Linked DNA regions of Sus scrofa. The protein of the gene in region 2 purifies or fractionates together with the protein of the main gene of each other region. This does not show direct contact. Links are inferred from orthologs where the notes say so. Each region holds a gene or a part of one and is shown on either strand. Other genes may lie near its edges. The genes, in order: ERC2 and RIMS1.

What was found.
Region 1: the proteins of RIMS1 (region 2) and ERC2 purify together in Homo sapiens (affinity purification with western blotting; 3 studies listed by BioGRID and IntAct, with this or other methods). This does not show direct contact. The link is inferred for Sus scrofa from reciprocal best matches to the Homo sapiens genes RIMS1 and ERC2.

The regions. Positions count from the first base shown.
Region 1 is NC_010455.5:38,180,268-38,195,396, forward strand, and holds part of ERC2 (ERC protein 2), read right to left. Parts: intron 8,266-15,129; coding exon 8,242-8,265; intron 7,606-8,241; coding exon 7,189-7,605; intron 1-7,188. UniProt on the Homo sapiens protein: Thought to be involved in the organization of the cytomatrix at the nerve terminals active zone (CAZ) which regulates neurotransmitter release. Seems to act together with BSN. May recruit liprin-alpha proteins to the CAZ.
Region 2 is NC_010443.5:51,779,348-51,794,576, forward strand, and holds the start of RIMS1 (regulating synaptic membrane exocytosis protein 1), read left to right. Parts: upstream 1-5,852; 5' UTR 5,853-6,172; coding exon 6,173-6,336; intron 6,337-15,229. UniProt on the Homo sapiens protein: Rab effector involved in exocytosis. May act as scaffold protein that regulates neurotransmitter release at the active zone.

The DNA.
Region 1 (15,129 bases), on a different chromosome or scaffold from region 2:
AGAGTTTCACAATAATTTCCTCAGCTATATTCTCAACTTTGGTTGGACAGCTCCATCAGGATTTTCATCAAACTCAATACATCCAAAGCCTTTCCTCAACCCCAACCCCTCCTCACAACAATTCTCTCCTACCCTCTGTCCCAGCATCTGCGTACACCCAGGCCCACAGATGTGGTTGTCTGCTGACAAACCAGCAGATGTGGTTGTCTACTCATCACAACTCCTTGCATTCAGTTTCCAAGCTGTCCAAGTTCTGCCTGCAGATGGGGATGACCTTGCCCTTCAACTTAAATACTTCTTGGTCATGTGAACAACAGTGGTATCCTTCTAACCTATCTCCATGCCTTTAGAATCTTTCTAGCCAATACACTACCAATTAGTACTTAACAATCTTTTCTGATCATTCTATTCTCCAGGGAAAATTCCTTCAAAAGCTGCCCAGAGCCTACCAAGTAAAGACCAATCTCCTACGTCACATGCTCAGAGCCCTCAGTAATCTGACCTCAAACACTCATTCCGCTTTATTTCCTTTCTCTCCTGACAGATAAAGCTCCAGCTGCTCCAAACTCACTATGACCAAAACACACCACAGTTGTCCCTTCTAATGCTTGGCTCAACCATCTCTTCTCCAATCATGTTTCTCCACCACCCCTATATGTTCAAGTTCTTCCTGCCTCTGAAGACCAGTTTATCAGGTATGAAACCAGTTGCCAGCTCTCCTACATCTAAGCTACACAGCAAGGTGCCACTTGAGGTCCTCTTAGTATACCACCCCAAGAAATAGTAGTATTTAGTATAGCAGTGTATAGTGGTGACAAGTATAGACCCTGGAGCCAGATTTCCTGGGTTCTGATTGTGTATCCAATGCTTGATACTTAACTCTGTACCTCAGTTTCCTTAACTATGTATTGGGGATGATGACAACAGTCTTCCCTTAGTACAGCATCTATCATGGAATAAGCCTCAATAAGTGTGAGCTATTTCTCTTATTACCCATCTGAACCCCTGAACAAGACTATAAACTTTCCATGGATGCTCCCACAGCATCCTGCATATGGATGTTCAACATGTGCCCAATGATATTCAACACATTTTGAAAAAACAGAACCTCCAGTTAAGCTTACTCTCAAAGCCACTGTTCCACTCCAAACATAGAGCAATGACAGAGAAAACAAAAAGAATATGGTGCTTTTACAACTATAGCTTCTCCAATATTGACAAAATAAACCACCGGATAATTCTCAAGGTATTTTTAAGCTATTTTTCACCCTTTAAATATTTACTGAGCATCTTGCAGGCAATATTTGAGGCCTGGGAATACTGATGGAATGTACTGATTAGGTTAAAAGCTTACTTTATTAAAATAGGGAGCAATTTTTAGGTTCTATTATATATGTTTAATATATATATAAAACTCTTGCAAAAGAAAGTAAGATGTTACGTTTATATGGTCATTTGTGTTTGGGAATATTTTCTGTGATAAGATTTCTTGGTCAAAATAGAATGTATAATTTGTAGAGTCAGAATTAGAAATGCCTGCAACAGCAAAATCATAGCTCAGCCAGCAGAATTAGAGAAAGCGTGTGTAAAAGAGAAAGAGGCCATATGGTTTTGAGAGAAGGGGAAATAGGGTGGAGATTAGTTTGGGCAAAGATTATACAGGGGAGGTTTCAACTATCAGTAAAAGGTTTATGAGCTCAAGAACTTCTAGGTCATCAACTTTACCTTGGTGGCTCCCTCACTGGCCTAGGCACACCTGGATAAATGAGGAGACCAAGAATTCATATTGCCTTGCCCTCCTCCTCCCTGCCCCCTAACAACATGGAGGGACACCCAGGCCTAATATCTCATGGGCTGGGTTAGTAGCAATTGTGGCCCCTCAATGATTTGAGTGCTCTTCTGCCCTTCCTTTCAAAGACAGGCAAGCTGCCCATGGGGATTAGCATAGGAGATCAACAAGCATGGCAGCAAAACATACATCCTTTCCCTTCAAACATCTTACAGTAAATAATTCAAAGTCTCCTGACTCTCTTCGAAGGATCAGCCAAGAAAATACTAAAGAGAATGAATATAGGAGGATCCTAGCATATAAACCCACTTTTTCTTTAATGAGATCAGTAGTATTTTGGGTACCTGATTACTAAAACCTTTATATGGAACAATGTGTTCTCTGTAGAAAAAGCTAGAGAACAAGGTAAACTATTACCACATCAAACAATGTCTTATCAAATCAACCTGTATCCAAAAGCATCAGACGACACTAGTGAGTAATGCTGCACTTCAGCCAACACTTCAGCTCACATTAGCCTGTCAACTGCAGTTCTTGGGCAACAGTTCTAGTCTTCCAAATAAGCTGAGATCATAATCTTTTTGTTGTTGTTTCCTGCCAGGCAAAGAAGTGGTTTCACCCTCAGCCTTTTCCAGACCACTGAAAGATAACAAGATACTAAAGCAACTTGTCCCTCCCCATGTGCAACTCCTGCCAATTCTAAATCTCCTGAAACAATAAGCTAAACAAGGCCAGTATTCCAGGAGATGGGGTTTATATGAGGTCCAACACCTCTGCCTGAGAATGAATCATAAAACCACTAGCACTCCATTCCCCAGCATTACACCATTCAGCCCCAACTGGGTTGAATCGTGCAAAATGAAAAAGAAATCAGGAACACACTGAACTTAAAACCTCAAGTATATTTTAAATCCTGTTTTAGATTCATTTAAATTAACAGAGGTCAGGAAACTTCTTTATTCAAGCTGGGTTATTCTTACCAGTTCAATACCAACATCAGTCAGCCACATTTTTTCCACTAAAAAAAAAAAAAAACCCTGACAGGAGAACAAACATTCTAAAACTCAATAGAGAACATGGAAACAGCTTACAATAAACTTTGCCTTCTAGAATAACTAATGGAGGAAATTACCCAGTTTTTTGGCCATGGGAAACAACTATTTGTATATTACATATTTTATAGGTCACAAATTAAAAGCACAATTTTTATGTTCTAGTATAGCATTTTTCCAAATTGTTCCACAAAGAACATCAGTATAACAAGAAAAAACAAATCAAATAAGTTTAAGAAGCTCTGCTTTCCTTTGTCCTCTTCTTGGAAATGACTGACGTACATTTGCATACTTGAGAGTCTCAGAGTCCCGCAATAAGCTCTATGGGATTCAACATTTTCCCCAAGTTCATTTGGCCTTGCAGCCCTTTGTCTCTCACAACACATATCAATATTCCACAAAATGGCTGTTCTGTGAAATATAATTTGAGAAAGATTCTTCTGAAAAGGGATATAAGAAATAGTTAAGGAGCTGAGACTCTGGATGCAGCCTAATTTAAATACCAGCTTTACAACTTCTTAGCTGTGAAACATTAGGCAAGCTTCTTCATGTCATTTGTCCCTCAGTTTCCAGGCAAATATATGCAAAATAATGGCACCAACTCCTAAGAATAGGCCTTTCCATCAAGTTAGAAATTTTTTTTTCTCAGTGCCTTAGATGGCTGATTACTTTTTATCAAGTTCACAATGTCCCCCTCCCAGAGACCCTCCCTGACTATGCAATATGAAGTTAGCCCCACCCAGGTCACTACTACTTTATCTTCTTTTCCTCATGATAACTCTCTGTTTAACTATTAAACTGCTATCTGTTTCACCTCAATAAAATATGTACCCATGAACTCAAACTTCATCAGTTACTCTATCCCAAAACATAAGTAGTCACAGAATGGATGGGTGGGTGGATGGATGAATAAATCAATGAGTGAATGAATAAATGAGGCTGTGAGAATTAACTGTGAATCAATGTAAAGCACTCTTATTTCAAAAAGATACATTCACTCTATGTTAAAAGTACCACCATACACAATTGTGAACACATGGCAACAACCTAGATGTCCATCAAGAGATCAGTGGATTAAGAAGATGTGGTACATATATACAATGGAATACCACTCAGCCATAAAAAAGAACAAAATGATGTCATTCACAGTAACATAGATACAACTACAGATTATCATAAGAAAGACAAATGTGAAGCACTCTTCATAGTGCCTAACATAAACTTCTAGCTAGATGATGTTATGAAAACTTTTGATGAACAATGAATGGTGAAGGCATTCATAATCATAATTCTTACACTATTTAACTTGACTCTTCCTGCTATATTTTGGGTAAACATTTCATAACATTTATTCAGAGGTATATTGGTAAGTGAGATTTCAGGGATGGGGTGAAGAGGATAAGTAGACCCTAAGAGGAGCATTTGCCAATTTCCATGGTGTAAATATGCCCACAATTCCAAGCTATAAATGATTTACAAGCCCGTTCATGAAATTCCTAGAAATGTAACAAATGGCTCTCGAAAGCCATTATCATCTCTCTCTCTTGAGAAAGGCCTTTTCAGGCTTTCCAAACTTGTTTGCTGAGTTTGAGTTTAAAATAAGATTTTTTTTATAGGCACCTTTTTCCACATTTTCCCTTCTTGATGAGCCAAGATAAGGGCTATCCACTGACTTTGTTCCATTAACAAAATAGTTGGATTTTTTGGGCTACATTTTCTGTACCATTCTCTATGGACTCTTAGACTAATGTTTAAATGTCTAAACATGATGTATATTCATGTCAGATCACTGTGAAGACCAACTGATCTCATAAAATATCAACCAAATTATGTTTAGATCCATTTAAATGAAGCTTTCTACAATAGGATCAAGGCGCCATGTATTAATTGCTAACAATGAGCAGAATCTAATAAAAAAGAAGAGCGACTCTATCCTGCCCCAAGATCCAACATGGAGTGAAGGTCAATGCTACAGATGAAGGTTTCTCTTGTACCACAGTCTTGCTATACATGCAACATGATCCCTTGGCACCCAAAATAAAGCAGCAGGTTTTTTTTTCCAACTATAGAAATCTACCAACCACAGTTTTGAGATAACACAACCAAAATCTCAGAATCCACAGACACTCTACATGCAATGATGATATGCCAGTAATCATTACTTCTCTTCTATAAACTAAATGGAAACTCTATGTAGTAAGACAGGAAGAGATTGGTTTCTCCACCACTGTATTAGCTATCACTAATATCACTGTGTAACAAATCAGCCCAAAATTTAGCAGCTTAAAACAATACACAGGTATTATCTCAGAGTTTGTGTGGATCAGGAATCTGGGCATTGCTCAGCTGGGTCCTTCGCTTCACCATCTCTCAGAAAGCTGCAATCAAGTTCAGCACCAGCCCAGCACCTGTCAGCCCAGCACCTGTCCGCCCAGCACCTGTCATCTTACTCAAAGACTCAAATGGGGAAAAGATCCACTTCCGAGCTTACTAAGTGATTCCTGGCAGTTTTCAGGTCTTTGTGGCTGTTTAAGTGAGAGTCCCATTGCCTCCCTGGGTATCAGCTAGAGGTTATTCTCAGTTCCTTACCACATGGTCCTCTCCACCATGGCAGCTTGCTTCATCAAAGCAAACAGAGCTCCTGTCGTGGCTCAGCAGGTTAAGAACCCGACCAAGTGTCCATGAGAATGTGATTTCAATCCCTGGCCTCACTCAATGGGTTAAGGATCTAACGTTGCTGCAAGCTGCGACAGAGGTTGTATGTGCAGTTCAAATCCAGTGTTGCCATGGTTGTGGCAAAGGCTAGCAGCTACAGCTCTAATTTGACCCCAGCCCAGGAAATTCCATTTGCCACAGGTGCAGTCACAAAAAGGGTGGGGGGAAGCATGTAAGCTGAGAAGGCAATAGAGTCCTACAAGATATAATTAACAGTTTTATGTAGCCTAATTGTAGAAGTGACACTGGCATCCCATTACTTTTGCCATTCTCTTACTTAGGAGCAAGTCACTAGATTCAGCCTATACTCAAGGAGAGGGAATTACATAAGCATATGAATTCCAAGAGGTAGGGATCATTGGGGCCATCTTAGAAGCCTTGCCACCACATTCACTCTCTTGGAATGTGGATTGGAAGACTAGACCCAATAAAACATATTTTGAAGTGTCTCAAGGTAAAACCAATCCATATGATTTCCCAAATACATACCTAAGGTCTCATGAAAACAAAACAAAGGAGAATAAGCATGGAAGATATTAAGCCTGAAAATACAAGTCCTTTCAAATGTGGTAGGCAAATACAATCTCTGTCAGAGAAAACTCCTAGTAGCATCTGCATTAGCAATTCCCAACATGGAAGCCACGTTTTCTGAACAACCAAAAAAGTGACTCACTGGAAAGGCTGCCCATCTGAAAATGTATATAATGGCCAGGAAATCTAGTCTGGTCTGAAAGCAAATGTCTTCTGGAATTTTTATTTATGGTTACAGAATATTTTGAAAATATACTCAATGCCATTTCATTGATTCCAATTTTCTGTGAGATCTGTGTCTGCCACAGCATTTTGCCTGTGTGGTACTTCTGAGATCCCTATCTACCATAGTGGCAAGAAACTGCTGTAAAAATTTCAAACCTTGGCTGTCACCCACATTCTTTCTAAGATCTATCCAACCACATATTCTCAGATATCTGAGCATCCCAACTTTCAATGATGGTGGCAAGCCAAAGAGGCTGCCTCTGAGGGACTTCAAATGATTTAATTCACTAAGTGCAAAACACATACTCAGAAAACCTGGAACATTCTGTCCTACATGAATATAAATGCAGGCAAAGATTACCTAAACATTCAAAATTGGTCTGCACATTTTACCATTCTTTCCAGAAACATCCTTAGGCTTTACTTTCTAAAAATCTTATCCCAAATTCAGATATAAAAGTACTTATAATCATTGTTTTGCTAATCAACTAATCATTTTGCCCTTTAAAAAGAGGATATTTGGTAAACATTTAAAACTTAAATAGTAACTGTATTTAAAAGGCCCTGAAACAATGGCCATTTGTAGGAAAGCAACTGTAAACCACCTTAGAGTTGACATGTGTTGCACACACTTGGATCCTGAATACGTGTTGAATAATAATGGAACATATGTGTGGTTAACAGAGGGAAAAAAAGACTAATGCAAAATTTCAGTTTAAAGGTGATAACTAGATAGGAAGGTTATAAAACAGATGACAAAAAGAATTTTGTTAAGGCTATAGATATCTTCCAACCTGTGAAAATATCTTGATAACATATTTAACATGTTTTAAGTTGTAAAATATTGCTTTGGGGAATGAGAAAAAGTGATCTTACCTCTCTAAGATGTATGTTTTCCTTCTCTTTCTGATCTAAAATCACTTCTAAATGGCTGACTTGAGACTCAGCCTCTGCCATCCGCCGCGTCCGTTCATTGTCATCCTCAAGACTTTTGGACGGCAAACCTTTACTTTGCAACATCTCAAGAAGTTTTTTAATTGACTCATCTCGGGCATTAAGGGTCTGTTTCTGCGTTTCAATTCTCAGCTCCATCTCCTCCAAGGTCTTCCTCAATAGGAATAGTTCCTTAGCCTGCCTGTCGTGCTCGGCTTGGAGCCGCCGGAAGTTCTCCTCAGTCAGTTCAATGGTAAAGTGCTCTGCACCTCGGTTGCCACTCTCTTGCTGCAGGAGGTGGTTGAGGTCTCTCTGGGTTCGCAGCTCATCCTGAAGGGCCTGGATTGTCAACTGCAGGTGCTATGATGAGAAAGACACAGCAGGAGAGGAGAAAGAAGGGGGAAAAGTCAATGGAAATGCCAACTGCTATTTGCTGCTACCACACTATGAAGATGGAATGTTAATCATGAGGTCCAGAGGGCCAGCTGCGAAGTCCTCCAGGGTGACTTCGGAAGCATGGCACATTACATGGAGAGGGGGAATTAATTCAATGATACTTTTTGAATGTCATAAGAGAAATGTACACATACACAGAAAACAGTATATTAGTGTCAGTCACAAGGTAAATTATACATCTACAGAGTTTTAATTTAGGAATTGGAAAGGGTTAGAGGGAAACTTTCACAAACACGCCTTCTTTACATCCACAATGCTCCAGAATCAGTATTCCTTGTTTCCTAGGGTGCTCTTTATTCTACTGTTATTTTCTGTGATAAATGCATGTTTGTTTAAAAATAAAAATAATAGCATCCACTACAAGTAGACACAAACGAGGACTTTATTTTTTACAAATAAAGCTGTGAAAGGTTTAGTAAACAGGATTACTGCATCTGCAAGCAAAAGGGAACAAATGCAGACAGAGACAAACACACTCATACACAGGAGAAAGTGAGGCTATGCAGAGCAAAATGAACGAGCCGCAAAGAGTGGACAAACCTTGGTTCTTCTGGCATCCAGTAACTGAACAGCGTGGGAAATGAAAAAAAAAAAAAAATGAAGCAAAAATCAACACAAAGAAAAGTCCAGTGCAAGCAAGGATATTTAACAGAAAGAACTTAATCAACATAAAGTACCTTCACAGAGAAAAAAAAAGAAAAAGAAAAGCGATTTCTTATTACAGCAAAGGCCCATAAGCTACATAGAATTTATATCAATGCTTCATAAATGTGATTTTAGAAAAGAAAATAAAGTGAGGTTTATTCTACCTTTTGTTTATTTAAATCTCACTGACCCAGGAACCCAATATCTTAGGTATATTACCAGGGAGGAATACACAACACTCCAGAAGTACCCCCCTATCATTCCAGGTCAATATTTTAACCAAAATCAGAGTGAAGTGCTGTAGTTACCAGTGGTGAAAAAAGAAACCCTTGTATGAAGACAGCTGGTGAATTCAGCAGTACCCTCCCCACGGGGCAACCCCCAGGCTAATGAAAACAGGCAGCTATAAACTGAAGGAAGGAAGAAGGCAGGAGGCTTCCAAAACAGAGTTACTCATCCATTCACCAAACACGTTTCCCTGGTGCAGATCAGACACAATGACAAATATGGGAATCAAGATGAACCTAAGGGGGGGCCTAGATCCTGCCTGAAGGGAACTCTCGGTATTATAAGGAATGGATAATACCCTATCTAAGTTACATAAATATTGGAGCAGTCCACATTTGGAAACCCTTCTGAATTCCACAGAGAGATTGAGATTTTTTTGAGTGTGGCCTGTATCCAGAAACTAGCACCAAGTGATACTTTTATTAAACTTTTCATTGGTGTCCACCCAAACTTTCCATTTAGGAAAATCCATTGAGAAATTCCTAGAGCATGGCAAACAACTACTCTTTCTCAGGTATGTGTCACAATACGTGCCAGGGTACTGAATTCAAAGTAAACAACTGTTATATATATAATTCACCCCAGTAAAATGTAAAATGCAGTGCTTTTTAGTATAGTTAAAAGTTGTACAACCATAAACAAATAATTTTAGAACATTTTCATCATCCCCAAAAGAAACTCTGTACCCTTTAGAAGTCATGTCCCATCCCTTCTCCCTACCCCAGGCCCTAGTAACCATTAATTTCCTTTCTTTCTCTATGGGTTTGCCTATTCTAGACATTCCATACCAATGGAATCATGCAATTAGTGATTTCTTTCTTTCACTAGCATGTTTTCAAGGTTCATCTATGTTATAGCATGTATCAATATTTCGTTCTATTTTAATATAGATGAATATTACCATTACAGGGATATACCACATTATCTTTATCTATTCAGAAGTTGATTCATACACAAATATTCATAGCACCATTATTCATAGTAGCCAGAAAGTGGAAACAACCTATATGTCAATCAACTGATGAAAGAGTACATAAAATATGGCACAACCAGGTCCAGTGACAGAAATAAACTGATGATTATCAGGCGGGTTTGGGTAGAATGGAAGATGACTGCTAAAGTGTTTCTTTTGAGGGTGATGAAAATGTTCTGGACTTAGTGGTGGTGTTGTTGGTTGCACAACTTTGTAAATATTCCAAAAACAAATGAATTTTACATGTTAAATGGGTGTACTGTATGGTTCATGAATTATATTTCAATACAAGTGTCACAAAAGAAAACATTAGGTGGGGTCATAAGATGATGTGGTCCCCCTCCACCAGCCAACCATCCCTAAACCACAGCAAAACAAAGTCCATAGGAGTATCAACCGTCTTCAGCCCACTGACGTGGCTGTTGCCAAGCCTCTTGGGAGTCTGCAACTGTCCTCAAATCATTTTAAACATTCTTGACACTGGCAAATCTTTGCCCTTTGAACATGGCTTGGGTTTCTGAGACAATCCAAGTTTACATGGAGACAAACATGAGGAATCAGGATGATCACACTGGAAATCACCTTTTCTGAGAGTGACCAAAAATAAGACTGACTTTCTAATGCAGTTCACATAAACTAGCCAGTAGGGAATTTAAAAAAAAAATCAACTATAATGGAAAAATCATAATTAATTAATTAATTAATTTAACTGCCAAAATGCTTTGAGCAAAACAGCAACAATGGAAGATAACTCTGTTAAAGGTTTGGATGAGCCAGTTGCCTACTGCCCTCATCCTTTGCTTCCAAACCTGCAAAACGGGGATAATCATAATACCTACCTCATAGAGTTTCTGTGAGGAGTAATTCAGATAATGCATCAAGTGCTAGGTTTGAGGGCAAAAGGAGGGAGGAAGTTTGGTAGAAAGGAAAGTAGAAAAGAAGAATGAGGAGAGAGGAATGGAGGGAAAAATCAATCCACTTAATTATTCAATATGCATTTACCCAGTGTCTTTCTATACTCCTGAAATATCAAAATAGAAAACAAAGGAAAAGAAATGGTCCATGCTCCCAATCCATGTGGACAAATAAATCGATAGTGGCAATACAATAGAAGTCATAGCCATGTGGTTAGAAATGCAAAGAGAATGTAACCCAGGCTGGACACATGTAAGAAAATACCCTAAACCAAGAGCTACTACTGAGCTTTGTCTTCAAGAATAAATGAAAGTTAAGCCTGTGGAGAATGATGGAAATAGTAAATAAAGTAAAAAACCCCAGAGGCAAAGACAGACCAGACCTATTATGGAACAGTAACAGCAAAAATCTCTATAGCCCCTACCACAAGCCAGGCCCAGTTCTAAGTTTTTTATTTCTTCACAATTTCTCAGTCATGTAACCACTATTATGATATCCATTTAACAAATGAGAAAATGGAGGGCCAGTGTGGTTAAGTAACTTGCAGGAAGTCACCTAGCTAGTCAAGTGGCACAACCAGGTGTTCATCCAGGTAGTCTGACTTCAGCACCCCTGCATGAATCGCTATACCATCTGACCTCTGAATTGGCATAAATACTTCAGGATGGCTGAAATAAAGAATAGGGAGGTGGGCAGGAGTGGTGAGATGGGCAGGCAATTATGACAGTTACAGAAATTCTTAAAATTAAATACTAACCAAGCTATTCCTTATTCAGAAGTTGTCATGATACATACTTCCATGTTGCACATTTATTAAGAAGTAAAATTTATTTTCCAGGTAGACTGAATGATCTAAGCATGACCAGTCTGATAAATCAACCTAAAATTTAGTGTTCAAAAATTTCTCAAATTCACATATCATGTATTTCCATTCTCTCTCTCTCTCTCTTTTTTTTTTTTTTTTTTTTTTTTTTGGTCTTTTTGCTATTTCTTGGGCCGCTCCCGCGGCATATGGAGGTTCCCAGGCTAGGGGTCGAATCGGAGCTATAGCCACCGGCCTACGCCAGAGCCACAGCAACGCAGGATCTGAGCCGCGTCTGCAACCTACACCACAGCTCATGGCAATGCCAGATCGTTAACCCACTGAGCAAGGCCAGGGACCGAACCCGCAACCTCATGGTTCCTAGTCGGATTCGTTAACCACTGCGCCACGACGGAAACTCCTTTTTTTTTTGGCGGGGGGAGGGGGGGTCTTTTTGCCATTTCTTGGGCTGCTCCTGCGGCATATGGAGGTTCCCAGGCTAGGGGTCAAATCGGAGCTGTAGCCACCGTCCTACACCACAGCTCACGGCAACACCGGATCCTTAACCCACTGAGCAAGCCATTCTCTTTTAAAATATTTAAGCAGGAATCTTGGAGTTCCTGTCATGGCGCAGTAGTTAACGAATCCGACTAGGAACCATGAGGTTGCGGGTTCGGTCCCTGCCCTTGCTCAGTGGGTTAACGATCCGGCATTGCCATGAGCTGTGGTGTAGGTTGCAGACGTGGCTCAGATCCCGCGTTGCTGTGGCTCTGGCGTAGGCCGGTGGCTACAGCTCCGATTCGACCCCTAGCCTGGGAACCTCCATATGCCGTGAGAGCGGCCCAAAGAAATAGCAAAAAGACAAAAAAAAAAAAAAAAAAAAAAAAAGATAAGCAGGAATCTCTTTATTTCTAAAAATGGATCCTTGAGCAAAATGAATGTACCTCGTAGAACACTGATAATCTTTCTGCTTCATAGGATGGGGAGAAATTTTAAAACAATCTCTCCCCTTCTCTTTCCCCTCATTGTTTTAAAGAGTCAACTCAATCAAGTTTCAAAAATTATTTACCATATATCTATATCTAGTTGGATATTTAACATAGACAATTTCAATTTTAAAATAAAGTAACAGCACTTTTAATAAATAACCCACTGAAATTAATATCCTCTCTGTCTCAATTTTCTTATTTGGAAAAGTGAGAGAGTAATAATTCCTACTGCATAAGGTTATTATAAGGATTAAGTGAGTTAATACATATAAAGCTCTTAAAAGTAACAGGTAAACAGTAATCGATTATACCAACGAGGATAGGATAGGGTTTGCTGCTGTGAGAACAGCACAAAAACCCACATTCTAAAAGATAAAACCCACCTGACATGCTGATGGCATGGTATCAGCATTCTTAGAGCTCAAAGAGGTCTTAAAGTTTAGCTTGTTAACTTCGTTTTATATATGAGAAAATCAGATCCACGAAGGTTAATTGACAGGCCCAAGAGCACACATACATTGCCAAATCCAGGATGTTGGTTTCTGGGATCCTGGACTCCATCCTGGTATGTATTCCAATAACCCTAAGAGTAGACCAAAAGGGGGTGGGGCTCTCCGCTTTGACAACTTAGGAAAAGGCAGTGGTGTCTTTTATTGAGAGGATGAGAGATAAGCTAAATCATTTAACCTCTGCATCACCAGTCCTACCCAGTAGTTAAATAGCCTGGGATACTCCAAGGGTAATTTATTTAGACCGCCATTCTAAGTCCTTGCAAAAGTAGTAATAGCTTCTATGTAGCTATCAGAAGACAAGCTCAATTTTAAAAAACAATAACTCTTAAAGATCAGGATACAATAGTACAGGTGAAAACTCTGGCAAAGCCAAAAGTACTTTCTATAAAGGTCAAAAGACTTAAAAAGTAAAAAAAAAAAAAAAAATTTTAAAAGATACACACTTTTTCAATTTCCTCCATTCCTTGATTATCCAATTCCTTCAAATTGAATCGTCTTTCCCTTCTCAACCATGAAAGCACATTTCTTTGAAGCAGCCACTTAAACTTCACTAGATCAATAGCCAAGGGCATTCCTTTCAGTTTGTTACCTGCATCAAGTACCTACAAACAAGCAAATTTTAAGGCTGTGTTCTAGGGCCATTTCTCTGCAATCTCCCAGTCATCACAGTGGTCTCAGCTTCCCAAAGCCTCAACCACTCCTCTTGCTTCCACCCCACTGCACATTAGGAGAGAAAATCCCTTCCAATATCCATTTGCATCAGGATGAGACATCACCAGGGTCCCAATCAACCTGCTATCAACTTGGAACACCTAATTCCCTTCAAGCACAAAAGTGAACCTGGTTGGATGAATATTCAGAAAGTTTTTTACTCCCCACCCTGATAGTAGGATCATCCTCTAGCTGTCCTCAAAGAAATCTAAGCTCAAAATGCAAACTTCCTTCTCCACAGCTGACCACTGAGAACACCACAGAAGAAAACAAAGCTGTTTTCAGCTAAAACAGTCAAAGTAGCTGCAACAAAAGGGCATCCACCTTCTCTCTGCAGTCACTCTGCTAGGAGTGCAAATAAAATACATCATATTTATCCTGGTACCTGGCCTATAAACCAGAACTTTTTAACCTTTTCCTCCCACACCTAAATTTCATACGTTGAACTCTGCCCTGGATAGGAAAGGCTAGCCCTATCTCCAGTCCAAAGAAAGAAAAAAGTTTAAAATCATTGTTTTGCCCATTAAACACAGGTAAACAGAATGGGAGCTAAAAAGATGAGTCTGCCCAATTGATTCCAAGACTCAGACAATAAAGGAAGTCCTAATGACTTCTGTTTCTGGTTTTATGGTAGGCTAATTTTCTGATAGGATGTCCTAGTACTCAACGGTCAGATAAAGGCAAATAAATCTTTCAAAACACTGCTATGCTCACACAAAAAATAAGGAAAATCTCCAAGAGAGAGAGACAGAGAGGAAGATTGAGAGAGAGAAAGTGAGTTTCTCAAGGTCAGGTTCTGGGCCAAATTTGTATCAGACCCCAAGCCTAGCACATAATATGCATCAAATAAATAGTGAGTAAAATATGGGCAGAAAGTTAAAAAGACTAGAAGGAAAACTGTCTCACCGGTCAGCACGGGGTAACAATGAGGCTGGTTTCCACTCTTCTTTGTTTTGCTGTAGTTGGGGTGGGGGGAGTTGGGGGTAGGGGAGAGTAGGAAGAATATCCTTGACCTCCGATTACTCTTTCCTGTTCTCAGCCCCAAAACTCAAAATTCCTCACGTCCACTAGCTCACTTGTCTGACAAAACTGCTCCAAAGCTGCCAGAACTATGTCCACTTCAAAAGAGAATAAATTGGGCTGGCTTAAGGGATTTGACTGCAATCACATCGTTAGCAAATACAGGCCAGGGTCTAATATTGAAGTTTACTCCAGCCAATTCTGAAGTCTCCCCCGATCTAAACATACTATAGAACTTCATTTTGCACAATTCTTACAGGCTTCAATAGTCATTCAACGTTGAAAAAAGGAGAACAATGAAAATATAAGAAACGAAGCCATATTTGAGTTCATATAGAAAAGGAGGGAAAATATACTTTTCCTTAGCCAACATTTAAAACAGGGACTTCCAATAGCTACTGGAGTCAGAATCTAATCCAGATTTCAGAATGTCTCAAACACAAAAAGGTAAATAGAATGAAAATATAATTATATATGTATAATGTGCATGGAACACACAATTATTTAAATAGGGACTAGCCAGATGTTTAGAATCTACTATGTCTTATCCCCAAACATGGAAAATATGAGTTC
Region 2 (15,229 bases):
TCCAAGCCTTGTGTCCTGTGCTTTCCTCACCTTGGAACACTCTGTCCAGCTCTTCTTCGGCGGGTCCTTCTACTTCTTCAAATCTTGGATCACGGCACCCCTCCTTAGGATGCCATGACTGCCTACTTCCCAGTTTACTCTCTATTAAATCTGGCAAGTTATTTTCTGGAGCCATTATCAAAATCCAGCTGTTCCTGTGTGTTTATTTATGCATGCCTCTCTCCTCCAACAGCCCTGCAAGCGCCTGGAGCAGAGGTCAGCAATCCTTTTTCTGTGATGAGGCAGGTAGTAAATATTTTAGGCTTTGCTGGACATATGGTCTCTGTGGCTTCTACCAGAGCATTGTAGCATGAAGGCAGCTATAGAGAATACGTAAATCAGTGGATGTGGCTGTGTTCCAATAAAACTTGATTCACAAAAACAGGCTTTGAGCTGTATTTGACACATGGGCCCTCCTTTGCCAGTTCCCTCTAGGGCCATTACTTTATATGCAGTTTTCCTTCCCACAGCCTCAGTGCCTAGGCCTAGCATGCAACTTAGCTTTCAATGTTAACAAAATCCTAGAAGGCAGATACAGTTATTTCCATTTTATAAATGAGCAAAATGAGCCTTAGCAAGACTGACTTCACCTGAACTCGTGTAAATAGTCTATCAGCACCCTAGGGCTCCTGTAACAAAGTACCACAATCTGCACAACTGCCTGAAACAACAGAGATTTATCCTCTCACAGTTGTGGAGGTTAGAAGTCCAAAATCCAGGGATCAGCAGGGCCACACTCCCTCTGAAGTGCCCAGAGGAGAATCCTTCCTGCTTCTTCCAGCTTCTGGTGGCATTCTTTAGCCTGGGGACACATCCCTCCCTCCTCTGCCTCTGTTTCCACAGGACCTTCTTCTCTGTGTGTCTATGTTTCCACATGGCTTTCTTCTGTGTGCCTGTGCCTTCTCTCGTCTTATAAGGACACTAGTCATTGGATTTAGCACCCATCCTAATACAATGTGATCTATTTTAACTAGTTTCCTCCATAAAGACCCATTTCCAAGTACAGTCACACTCTAAGGTTCTGAGTGGACATGAATTTGGTCAGGAGAGGAGAGACAGTATTTAACCCACTACATGTGTCAAATGATAGAACATGACCCCATTTCCATGATTTTTCCACTTTGAAGTTATAATCTGAGTTATTAAACTTTCAGTTAACTGCAATGTTCAATTTTAGACATATTCTGAGAAATGATGATTTGAGGGTACCAGTAGAAAGGAGAGTTAAGAAACTTACCTGAGAGAAGCTATGTCTAAGTCATTATTTCTGCCTTGTACCCTGAACATAACATTGGAATTGACCTGAAGGGCATCTGATACATATCTTATGAATAGAGGTTTAAGACACTTTTCTGTAGACTTCATTGCTTGGGCCAGGAGCATTGCATGAAAAGTTCCATGCTCTCTAGTCAAGATTTCTGGATACCAGGCTTATAAGTTGGAGTTTTCCTTATCTAAAGCAAGTCCTCCCTTAGGGAAGTGGCACTTCTATTGCCATCCAAGTACATTTGGGAAATTCCAGGCCAAACCATGTAAAGCAGATTTTGTTACCTCAGTAAATAATTTCTTCTTAGTTAGCATCTTTTATTTATTAAGGTGCCTGGTGAATTTCTAAGAGGAAGGTATTGTGCCCGGTTTTCTAAGTTTATTGGATATTTTTTATAGAGTAACATCAGAAACTAGTCATCTGTGTCACACACCTTGGTATACCTACTTTGGGTGTTTGCTTTCTTATCTAAGTACAGATAAGTTCTGCTTTTCTGACAGCAAACTTGTAGAAGTACACTTCTCATGCATTTGAACCCCTCCATAATGGATAAGATTTCTGGCAGAAGGGGAGACACCAGTGGCTGTACAGTGGCACCTAGCAATTTATCAGTCAATTCATTCTCTCCTTTATTTGTTTATTCACTCACTGATTTCACATATGCTTTTCAAGCAGCAAGAAAGGAGTTATGAGCATAAAGATGATTGAGACCAGACTTCTTGTCATTAAATCCTCTGGAGAATACCCAGCAATCATCATTTCTCAAATTAATTCTTTTTTTTTTTTTTTTTTTGTCTTTTTGCCATTTCTTGGGCTGCTCCCGCAGCATATGGAGGTTCCCAGGCTAGGGGTCGAATCGGAGCTGTAGCCTCAGGCCTACGCCAGAGCCACAGCAAAGCGGGATCCGAGCCACGTCTGCAACCTACACCACAGCTCACGGCAACGCTGGATCCTTAATCCACTAAGCAAGAGCAGGGACCGAACCCGCAACCTCATGGTTCCTAGTGGGATTCGTTAACCACTGTGCCACAATGGGAACTCCACGCAAATTAATTCTAATAAAGGGAAACCACATGTAATGGACTGGATTGTGTCCCCCTAAAATCTGCAGGTTGAAGCCCTAATCCCCAGTACCTTAGGAAATGACTATAATTGGAGATAGGACATTTAAAGAGGTAATTAAGGTTAAATGAGCTCATAACGGTTGGAGCCTTAACCCAACAGCAATGAGGTCCTTATAAGCAGAAGGAGAGATACAAGAATGGGCATGCACCAAGGAAAGGCCATGTGAGGACACAGTAAGAAGGTGGCCAAGGAGAGAGGCCTCAGGAAAAATCAATCTTGCCAACACCTTGATTGTGGATTTCTAGCCTCCAGGACTGTGAAAATAAATTTCCGTTGTTTACGCCATGCAGCCTGTGGTATTTGTTATAGCAGCTTTAGCAGTTGAAAACAACACTGTTAATTGTTCATGATGCCCTGCCTTCAAGAACTTTATTCAGGTAGTTCTAATGTCTACTGAGGACTTCTCATTCCATTATTTGTATCTTAAAAGTACTTCATGAGGACCAGATTGCCTGTAAACCTTTGGAGGACAAGGCGCCTATTGTATCTTCACCTTGACCGGCAGAGATGCAGGCATCTGGTAGAATGAATATGTCAACTACCTTTTTCTTCCCCTCTTATATTAATCCTGGAGAGATGGCCTGAAACATCTCTTAGGGAGAGCAACAAAAAAAGAAAAAGAGAACTATAACGTATTAGAAACATCACTAGATGCTACAAATACGTCTTCTCATTTAATAGCCCTTTTATATCTTGAGGTAAGTATCTTTACCCTCCTCTTCAGATGACGATGCAGAGGTTCAAAGAGGAATTGAACTGAGATCATAAAAATCCCTGGTAGAGCCAGAATTCAAACTCATTTTTTCCTTCCTGAATATATGCTGGCCTGAGGAAAATAAGGATAGAATTTTAAAATGGAGATGCTGATTAGAGTATTTTCATCAAGTGCTTAATTAGAGAAAAGAAGAAACCTGGCTGGACAGCAGCATGTTTGAAAAAGAACTGGAAATTTTGGTGGACTAGGTGTTTATTTCAGTGACATCCTCACAATCAACGTGGCTACCAAAAAGCTAGGCCAATGTTAAGTTATGTAAGTAGAGTTGATTTACAATATTGTGTTAGTTTCAGGTGTACAGCAAAGTGATATATATATATATATCTCACTGCTATGCAATAGACACTTGTTGGTTATCTAATTTATATATATATATAGAGAGAGAGAGAGACAGACAGACAGACAGACAGACAGAGAGAGTACTGTGTATAATTTAATTCCAAACTCCTAATTTATCCCTCTGCCTTCCCCTTTGGTAACTATATGTTTGTTTTCTAAGTCTGTGAGTCTGTTTCTGTTTTGTATATAAGTTCATTTGTATCATATTTTATGTTCCACATATAAGTGAGGTATCATATGGCATTTGTCTTCCTTTCCCTAGCTTATTTTTCTTAGTATGAGAATTTCTAGGTCCTTCCATGTTGCTGCAAATGGCATTATTTCATTCTTTTTATGGCTGAATAATATTCCATTACATATGTGTACCACATCTTCTTCATCCTTTCCTCTGTCAGTGAACATTTAGGTTGCTCCCATGTCTTGGCTATTGTAAATAGTGCTTCAATAAACATGAGTGGATGTATCTTTTCAAAATATGGTTTTCTCTGGATATATGCCCAGAAGTGGAATTGTTCTTGATATCACTATTCAGGACGGCTAGTGAAAAAACACAAGTGCGTCCAAAGGCAGGTGAGGAGAACAAGCAGACTTTGAAATCATGATACATACTTTTGGTTTAATAAACTGGAAAGGTTTAATCTGGAAAAAATTAAAGATGACCTGATGGTCATCTCAAATAGTTGAAAGATTTTCAGGTAAAAGGGGGATTTAGATATAGAGATAAAACTAAGTGTTAGTGAGCCTTCTATTACTGAGATTATTCAAACGGATGTATCCAAGCAGAAGCAACACCTGCATTCAATGTGAGATCAAGTAATTAAACTCTTTATTTTTTATTTTTATTTATTTTTATTTTTTTGCCTTTTATGGCCTCACTTGTGGCATACGGAAGTTCCCAGGCTAGGGATCGAATTGGAGTTACAGCTTCCAGTCTATACCACAGCCACAGCAATGAAAGATCCGAGCCGTGTCTGTGACCTACACCACAGCTCATGGCAACACCAGATCCCTGATCCACTGAGCAAGGCCAGGGGGATCATACCGGCATCCTCATGGATACTAGTCAGATTCATTTCTGCTGCACCACAATAGCAACCCCTTAAATTTTTTTAAACTTGAAGATTTTAGGATTTTTAGGATTCATAAACAGCATCAACATTTTCTTCTTCTTCATTAACAAAGATAGGCTTGGAAGAAAAAAATATCAATGCTAGATCACTTCTGAGCTATAGAAAGACTTCTGCAGGAGATAAACATATCAATCCTCTCATCACCATTTCTAAGAGAAACTATTGTTTAATTCGAAGCCTTGTCTATATTGATTCCTTTTATAAATATATTAACAAAATTCAGTCTCCAAGTTTAAAAGCTGATAACATTAACTGTTTTGAAAGGATTGTCTATTTATTTTTGCCTTTATCAGCAAGAGGAGCTCATCCTTAATGCTTATCATTGGGCCAGGCACTGAGCAGAAGCTTCTTACAATAGGCTGTGGTGGGGCGTTTTTCTTATCTGGGATCAGTGCTCCTTGAGAAGTACCTGCAGAGGCTACGAAGTGAGTACATGATGATAGCATCATTAGAGGAATTAGAGTATATAATCCATTTGCAGGCACCAGAGATGTGCGGTTATGTGATGAGATGGGTTGCCCAGAGCCCGAAAGGACAAATTAAAGATGCGCCTTGGTGTGGGGCGTCTGGAGGGGGAATTCGGATACACCGCACAACAGCCCTTCTGAGGATGGGTCAAGAGAGACTGCGTACAATGGACCCAGACAATCCAGGCCTTTGAAGGGGAGTATGTGTATCAAAATTATCTTTAAAACCACATCGCGGTGGCAATGAACACTTGATCGGTAAATCAGAAAGATACGGTAGGGGAAAAAAAATGCATGCAGAGGGTGTTCCATCTCGTTCAGAAGAACATCGTGGTTGCTCAAATATTATTACTGCTCCACGACGAATATGGGAACGAGGATGATGATGATGAATGCAACCCATGGAAAAATAGGGCTGGCGAGAATGACAGAGCGGAGGGACCTGGAGAGGGAGGATGAGTCACGGGCGAGGGGTACCTGGGCTGGAGCGCAGTGGTGTGCAAGTTGGCGAGCGGGGGGAGCGACGGGGCGCGGGGCTGGGACCGCGAGTGGGCGGGTGGGCGCCGTGGGCGGAGCGGCTCCGGGGCTGAGCTGCCGGCGGCCGTGTCTGAGAGCGAGCGAGGCAGCATCACCCAGAGCGGAGCCGCCGAGACTCCGCCTAACTGACACCCAAACTCTCCTCCCGCAGCCGCGGACGGAGGCGGCAGAGCCGGAGCATCCTCGGCGCACCCGAGCATCCTCGCCCCTCGCCGCGCCCCTGCCCCTGCCCCCGCCCCGCCAGCCGAGGCCCGGCTGCGGGAGGCGGCCGGGCGCCCGCGCCTTGCCAGGGCCACCAAAACAAAGGCAGCATCCGGGGCTGGGTGGAGGCAGAGGACCATGACAGCCCGGGCTCGCACGCGCCGTAGCCCCGCCGCCGCCGCCTCCGGGAGGGCCCAGCGGTGAGCCAAGCAGGGGAGCAGCTGCCAAGCGTGGATTAGAAGGTGCGCCCGCGTCGAGCCGAGGCCCACGGAGGGGCGGGCAGGCCGCGAAGATGTCCTCGGCCGTGGGGCCCCGCGGTCCTCGCCCGCCCACCGTGCCTCCCCCCATGCCCGAGCTGCCCGACCTGAGCCACCTGACCGAGGAGGAGAGGAACATCATCATGGCAGTGATGGACCGGCAGAAGGAGGAGGAGGAGAAAGAAGAAGCCATGCTCAAGTAAGCTGGCCCGGCCGCGCCATCCGTGCCTCCATCGGTCCATTCGCCGCCCGGTACCCAGTCCTCCCGGCTGAGTGTGGGGGAGGGGCGGGCCAAGATTCTGGGTGCGGGCGGAGGCTCCCGCCTGAGGGCCGGGGGGCGGGGGGTCCCGGCCGGGCGGAGGCCGAGGGTACAGGTGGAAGGCGGGGATGCAGCCGAGCCCTGCTCCGAGGAGCCCGGAGAGGATAGCTGGGGACCGAAGTGCCAGGAGGACTGGGTGGACCGGGCCACCCGGGGTGGGATGTGCGGAGGCTGAGAAGAGTCAGTGCCCCAGTGGAAGGAAGGGCCCAGCCAGAGCAGGTGAGGGGCAGGGCTGAACCGCGGGAGGGAAGGCGGGGTGAAGAGCTGCCGAGAATAGCTCCTCTTCTTTCCCTGGAGTTGTTTAGCAGGTCGGGATTACCCCCGCCCGGGATGCCAGTATTTATCTAAGTAAAACGCTGATTTTGAGTGCTCATTTTGTTACTAATTCATTTCACAGATCGAGGCTGGGTCTTTTTTGGGGGGCAGTTGCCATCTTTGGTAACCTGCCTCCCCAGCTTCTCTTTAACCTTTGATACACGGTCTTCTACGCGGAATACCTGTGTGAAGACACAGTTCTTCCCAGTATATAATGCCATTGGCAATGCAAAGTTTTTAATGATGGGAAAAGCTGATGGAGACTCTGGCCTGAATAAAACAGAGGTTCCACTTTACTGGTTTCCAAGAGACCTCGGGGCCTGCTGGGTTCCTGGATGAAGCAGGATAAGAGGGGCTGAATATTTGCACACATCCCTCCTTCTTTAAAGCTCGTCAACCCTGCAAGGGTTCTCCGTCCAGCGCCCCGTTTTCCTGGGTCTGGGAGGGGATGGGGCTGGTGGCTGGCGATGCAGGCATGTGTTTCACTGCACTGCTGCTTGCCTTAGTCTCAGGCAATACAGTTCACAAGGTGCTGGCCTCCCCACCTTCTTCCTTGCACAAGTGTGGTGGAGCTGAAAGGGACTTGAACCCTGCCTTACCCTGAAAGGGCTTCCTGTATTCAGGAAAGTTTTCAACTTGGCAGTGAGGGAATTTAGAAGCCCTGACTGGGACTAATTCCTTGGCATCCTCCGTTAAGGCCAGACGGTGCATCTGGGGGCAGAAAACTGGTGTGAGGAGCCAAAGGGAACCTGTTGCATCTGGAGTTACTGGAGAGCAAAGAGGAACAGCAAAGGGGTGACCCCCCACACCCAGTCACACCCTGCTCTGCCTCTCCCCACCCCTAGGATTGCTGCCTGGATTGGAGATGCTGCCACAGAAGGGAGGTTTCTTCCGCTTCTCTCAGTATAGCAGAACCTCACAGGAGAGGGCTGGAAGGAGGCTGAATTCCCAGCCTGATGGGTCTCCCCCCGTGCAGCTGCTACCCAGCTGGAGAGGGGGTATTGAGGGAGAGATGTGGGGGCCGGTCACAGCACCAGAAGAGAAATCCAGTCATCCCTGCCCTTTCATCACAGACTCCAACAGGGGCCATTAACTCAGAAGGCCAGAGCCAGCCTGCTTCTGTGAAGGCAGCAGGTTTCCGAATTCCCTGCTCCTTCTTATCCAAAAAACAAATACTTTAAGCCTGCCGGCTGGAGGGAGCCAAAACCCTCCTTAATCTGCCGCCCAGCCCTGATGGCACAATGACGTCCCTAGCGCTGCAGGCTTCCCCTCTTCTGAGACTGGAAGTAATGGATGGTGTCTGCTGGTGCTGCTGTCTGTCTGTCTGGTTGTCACTCCGTCTGTCCTCACTGGTTGCAGCCCCTGCCACCTGTCCTGGGCACCTCTTCTGCTGGTCAGAATTGACAGGGTTATTTCCGTTCCTTCTGGTGTTGGCTGCAGATGGCAGGTGGACAGAGGCCTCCAGCAGCCAGTGGAAAACAGGGGTCTGAGCAGGAAGGGAAGGCACAGTGCAAGCAGGTGGCCATCACGCCTCTTCCTTGGCTGTTTCAGGGCTGGTGGAGAGTGAGGGTTTTAAATGGGGGGGGGGGGTGAGTTCCACAACCGAATCTCAAACCTGCTCACTGCCTAAGGACAGCAGCCATCGAATCACATGGGCTTGTAAGGGACAAAAGAAAAAAGAAGAACACCGTCCAACTGTTCATGTCTAAAACCTCTTTCCCGCTGCCACACCTGTGGCTACCCTCTCTGGCCAGTACGTGGTGATCCTTTATTGCAAGGATTCACAAAACATCTCAGTATGTGATGCTTTTATACAACAGCCCTCTCTAATCCCAGGCCTCAACACTAACTTTATCAGTCAGCCTCCTCTGCTACTGTCTCGGCTTTTTGTGCAATGGCAGATGGGGGATGCTTGGGAATCCATCCCCCGCCCGAGTTTGCTGCCATGTAAGCCTGTCCTCGCATCCACAAATTAGTGGGACAGAGCTCAACTTTTTTCTAGAGGGTACTTTATGTCTTAAAAACTGAGGACTGTTGGAGTTAATCAGAGGACACACATATATGGGAACTCAATGACATAGTCACAGGTGGTGACCCTTTCTGAACTTTTCAAAAAGATATATTGGGAAACAGGAGGTTTTTCACAAGGCTTTGAACTATTTGTTAAAACCAGAGATGTGTTTCTGTGGTAATGGATGGTCATCATGGCACATATCTGAGAAATGACTCCCACAACAGGCCCTACAAAGCTGAAGTTCTAGGAACAGAGCATTTAGGCTTAAAATTCACTTTTGCAAAGCCATTGCCTTGAGCTATTGTGTGTGCTCTCTGTTCATAATATATAAAAATAGGCCTTAGTAGAGAGAAGAGAGAAAACTGATGGGTGAATATGCCAAAGAAATATTATAAAATATCAATTAAAATATATTTATACAGTTTCATCAGCCCTGATTGTATATTACTCTTCAATTTGGTCCTGACAATGTCTAAATATGTATAAACGACAAAGAATAATGAAGCTACTTTCTCCTCAAGATTTCAGAAAAAAATTATTTGAAATTAGAAGCACTTTGTCATAAAAATAATTCATTTTGTTGGCAAAGTGCACTAATTTTAAATACCATTGCCATAACTAGAAATAGTTGACTCCTGCAAGTAATTTCTAATGGTGGGATTTAATTACCTGCAAATAGAAGGTCTTTCTTAATTTTAGTAGGCTTTGGGGCTGTGTACGTAGGTGTGTGTGGGTGTAGGTATAAATGTGTGTTCTGGAAGTTTTTTGAAACCTAACTTCTTCAATGAAGACTCCTTCAAGTAACTGTCACCAGGCACCATGAGCCAATATATTACATGGATTGAAAATTGCATTATCTGGGACCTAAATCAGAGAAGATCTCATTTGATCTAAAATCTTATTCCTTTTTTATAAAATCTTCATAGAGAAAGGAGCTACAGAATAGCAAGACAAGAGAAAAAATATAAAGAAGCAGAGAGTGAAAATGATGGCTTGAGGCTGGGAATCAAGAACCATATTGGAATATTTAATAGAACTACTAACATTTATTGAGCATTTACCTCATGCTGGCCATTATTCTAAGTGGCTTTTGAATCAAAAGCCAAATAAATAGTTGAACTGTGTTCAAGTTCAATAGATGTGTATTTGGATTCTCACAACAACTTGTGCAGAAGGTAAGTCAGGTCACATAACCCACAGATCCTTATCCCGCACTCAGAGTTCCTGTAATACCTTGAGTTGACTCACATGAAGTGGCCCAACCAGGATTCAAAGCCAGGCTCTTCATTCTAAGTCCAAGTATCGTCCCACATAGTATACTGTCCTTCTACCAAGATGAAGCCTGGATTTCATCTACCTCTTCCTTATATGAATATCTCTTCTTCCCTTGGTTTCAGAGAAGGGGCTTGGCAAAAGGTTGAGCTGATTCAGAGGACCAGCTGCTGATTAGAGGAGGGCCTGGTGCTTTACCCAGACTCTTAAGAGAGTTTCCCAGTGGATTGAGGGCAAGGACATTGTCTCCAGTTTGAAGATATAACAAAGATCATGAAAAGACCATTTTTTGCATCCAAGCATTTGGGAGTTTAAGTTCTAGTGCTGTCTCTTAAATAGTGTAAGTGTGGCCAAGAAATTGCATTTGGGATTCTGTGAGGTTCTCTTTTTCTTATAAATCCTGCAATTCATGGTGTGAATTGATTTATAAAGTATATTGACTTTGGACTTGTCCCTCTTTCTTAACAGGGACCCTCACACCCACTAAGTCTTCAAACATCTGTAATATGAATATTTACTTCCTTTGTAAGGAAGAGTGACACAGTAGAGGGGTTGAACTCTTATAGCGAAGCTTTTCTTCCTCATTTTTCTCCCTCCAGCCACTCATAATATTGTGACCCAAAATGTATACAGAAGGCTCAGCTTGAGAGACCCCAATTAGCAACTGGGATAGAGTTAAGGACAGAGTCCCCAGGAATGCAGGTAGCATGTTTTTACTGAGTTTTGCAAAGGTCTTGCACACCCAAATATTCTGTCCTATTGCTGAGGCAGGGATGGGTAAGGAGGGGAAAGAGAAAAGGCAAAGAGTAATTGGAGAAAGCTGCTGAAATATGAGCAGGTATCTACCTGTCCCCAGATCCTGTGTTAAGTAGAAAAGTCTGGGGGAGAACATTTACCCTTTCACCCAGCGTCTAGTCTCCTTCACAGCCCTAATGGATAGGATTAAATGAGGGAAAGTTAGCCTTGAACTATTGCAGTTTTCTGCTTTCAGCAAAAACCTACCTTAGTAAATGTGCATGCTTAGTCCTAGGCCCCCGAATGCTCATGGAAAAAATTCAGAAGACAGAAGCCTAGAAGGAAGGAAGGAAGGAAGGAAGGAAGGAAGGAAGGAAGGAAGGAAGGAAGGAAGGAAGGAAGGAAAGAGAAAGAAAGAAAGAAAGAAAGAAAGAAAGAAAGAAAGAAAGAAAGAGAAAGAAAAGAAAGAAAGGAAGAAAAAGAAAGAAAGAAAGAAAGAAAGAAGGAAGGAGGGAAGGAAGGAAGGAAGGAGGGAAGGAAGGAAGGAAAAAGTGAGGTGTTATCAAAGAGAATGGAGGGTAAGAAACATGACAGTTCACATTTTTGCCAGCCTGCCTTGGCTCTCGTTTACCTCTATGTATTCCTTCTTAATTGGAAGTGAAGGGACACTCTTGTTGAAGTAAATGGATTACTAAGTTTGAAGCAGAACATGCAATGTGAGCTACAGGTGTCACTGCTGTCTGGAATAGAAACATCACCTCGGGAATGTTACTTGCTCAAGGTGATTTTGAGCTAACCCTATGCGGTAAGCAGCCAGCTTCCTGCAAAGACATCAAATAGCAATTCCGGCCGTCATATTACTGTCCTAACTCTGTAATATGCAGATGGGTATGCTTGCCATACCATGGATTTTAGAGTCCATGGTATTGCATTTCATTTGTATTTATGGAGTATTTTATATTTTTAAACAAATTTTTAAACAAATTTTTTGCACTTTGTCCTGTGATGGGTGTTGGGTATTTTAGAGCTGGTTCTGAGTGTTGTAAGCTGGCCTGAGGCACATGGAAACTTAATAGAAGCTAGACCCTACACACATGGACACGGATCTTCAGTAATCTTGGAAGTCTTCTAAAGTGTATCAAGGTGTGGGTACCATGGTTTTGTTTCCTCTTCTGTTGGGGAAGGAGCTTAACATTTGAATGTTTCGCTGGCTACTGTATATCTTTTACTCCGCCCCATGCTTACCTCTTGAAAGGTCTACCCTGTGAGAATTCTATTAGTTACTATTAGTGAAATTCCCAGTACTAGCTCAGTGCCTTCCTGACCCTGTGCTCATGACATATGATCCTGAATCTGGAGAATAAAATTTAAAAAGGAGCAAGAGAAGATATCACATAGCCAATGACCTTTTCCAGCCTTTTCTGAGAACCCCAGGCTCTAGATCTTCCCATAGGTGAGAGGATAACCCTGTGGGCACCAGGGCTTTCAGATCTGACTGCTTGGCTCACAGTGTTCCCTAGTGCCTGAGCACTTCCCACCATGTTCCTCCACCATGAAGTTCTCTCTTGTCCCTACCGTGTTCCAAAGTTGATGTATTAGGTAGACTATTTCTGACAAAGTGTCAGGTGATATTCATTTCAACAATAAGACCATTGTTTTAGGTATTAGAATTGGATCAGGCATTGTGCTGTTAAGTAGAATAAAGAGAGAGGTCCTCAGCTTCTAGCTCAGGGTTGGCTTAGTTCTTACCATTTTAAAGGTGCTCTGGCCAGAAAGAGAGGTGAGCATCGGGTAGTTGGACAGAGCAGTGGACTAGATTGTGCTCCGAACACTGTCACTTTCTATAGGTGTAAATGTCAGTAAGTTAACTCCTCTGAGGCCCAGTTTCTTTCTGTGTAAAGTGGAGTTGATAATGCCTGCCCTTCTAACTTACTAAGCTTTAACGTGATGGTAGAGACACCCTTAAACTTCAAATTGCTGTACCAAAGAAAGGGATCATTGGAGTTCCCATTGTGTCTCAGTGGTAACGAACTCAACTAGTATCCATGAGGATGCAAGTTCAATCCCTGGTCTCACTCAGTGGGTCAGGAATCCAGCGTTGCCATGAGCTGTGGTGTAGGTCACAGACATGGCTGAGCTCCCACCTTCCTGTGGCTGTGGCATAGGCTGGCAGCTCCAGCTCTCCAATTTGATCCCTAGCCTGGGAACCTCCTATGCCATGGGTATAGCCATAAAAAGAAAAGAAAAGGGCCATTATTATCTTTACTCTGTAAAGCTGTAAAGAATCCCCAAATCATCTTTTCCTGAGATTACTGCAGCTTTTAGAAGTCCCATGGAGATGGGTTCTTATAGAAAAATTAATCCATGATATCCTGCCAGCAGGGTATGTGGCCAAGGCTGCAGCTCCCACAGTGAGAATTTGGCAGAGGTCAAAGGTAAAATGAGTCCAGAATCTGATCTGAGATTGTATTTACCTTCTTTCTAGCTCATAAATGTCTTTAGCAAAAAAGAGAATTGTGGGGAAAAAAGATAAGATTTGAAATAACTAGAAGGCGACCCTAAATCAAAAATGAGAAGAGAAATTAGCCTAGGATAATTTCCACATCATTTGCTAGGGGAAAAAAAAATGTGGAGAAACAGACTAATGGTTTTTGTGCCACTGGATTTAATAAATCATTCACTTTAAATTAGCTGATTGAGGGGCCATGTACTTGCCAAGGAGTAGTTCCTCTTTCATGTCAGTTTATTAGGTGATGGAATAGATTGCATGTGTTTAAGAACTTTTAAAGATTCTGTGCTGGATGTCTTAGGCTTTCTGTATGTATATTCTTACGCTTTTACATCCAGTTTCTGTGCATTTATTTTGATCTAGGTCAGTGTTCTGTGGATGGTGAGAGGGGACTATATTACAGAATTGACTTTCAATATTCCTGCCTCTGTGGCTAACTTGTGAAAACTTCCCTGACACACCAACATTTATTTTAATATAAAAGGATTTTTTTTTTTAAAAGTGACTGTTGGAGTTCCCGTCGTGGCACAGTGGTTAACGAATCCGACTAGGAACCATGAGGTTGAGGGTTCGGTCCCTGCCCTTGCTCAATGGGTTAACGATCCGGCGTTGCCATGAGCTGTGGTATAGGTCGCAGATGCGGCTCGGATCCCGAGTTGCTGTGGCTCTGGCGTAGGCCGGTGGCTACAGCTCCAATTGGACCCCTAGCCTGGGAACCTCCATATGCCGCAGGAGCGGCCCAAAGAAATAGCAAAAGACAAAAAAAAAAAAAAATAATAAAGTGACTGTACAGGTTGGTTTTCCCAGGACAGTATCTGTTGATGTCTATCTCATGCTATAATGATGGCTAGTACCCCATTCTTTCAAGTTGAATTTTAACCTGGATGATGAATTATATTGTCTCCTTCTTTGTAAATTTTTCTTTCCCTGAACAAAATTATTCATTTAAAGCTTCAGAAAGTCAGACAATTAACTGTCATAAAATACAGCAATTAGTAATTATCAATAAGTAAGACAAGCAAGTTGTAGACGTAGAGCCTTGGAAATCATGGTTTGGTAAATGGAAAGACCTTTGCTGAGAAGGAGGAGTTATCTTTTATAGATTCTTTCATGGTAAAGTTGATTTTAAAAGTTCATATCACTTTTCAAATAACAGTAAGCAGGAATGCAACTGCGTGCAAGGCTCTCTGTGAAGACTCCCTTTGGGCCTTGCAAAGGAGCAGCCCACAGTTTAGGGAAGACACTTAAATAGATTTTAGGATGCAATATTTTGATAATTCTTCTGAAGTTTAGATAGTAAAATAAGATCATGTTATAGAAAGTAATTTTGTGCAATTTGCAAGTAATTAAAATATTTAATTAGCTCTTAAAGAGCCATAATGAACTAAACAGATATCTTTATATAATATAAAAGATAATACCTTGCTAATGATTTGCATATAACTTAATACATATTTTTCATATTTCCCACCATTATGCCAGGTAATTATTGTCTGGGAGATGCCATTATATTTACATAGAGAAGGGATGTGAATTAAAAACCAATTAAGGTATCTGTACTGTCATGTCTTACACAGTATCTCTTCTTTTAATGGACTTTCAGGCATGATATGCTTATTCACAAATGGGGATGGGTATAGCAGTTGTTATTGATAGGGTTATATGGTTTTATTTGCCAGACTTTATGTAGTCTATTTGATTGGCTCCCAACTTACATTTCTGCAAGCAGAGCATTCTTGATCGATATTTGAGCAGTGTTCTTAATCTCAAGAATATCAAGTTATTTGAAAGTTTGAAAGTTGTAAGTAATCAGTGCACAAGCACCACGTGACACATTATTGTCCTTGTCATTTAAACACAGATCTTCATACGGGCAATGAGAAGCTCTTTGTTTGCATGGCTGGCTATTCTGTGTTCAATTTCTGGGG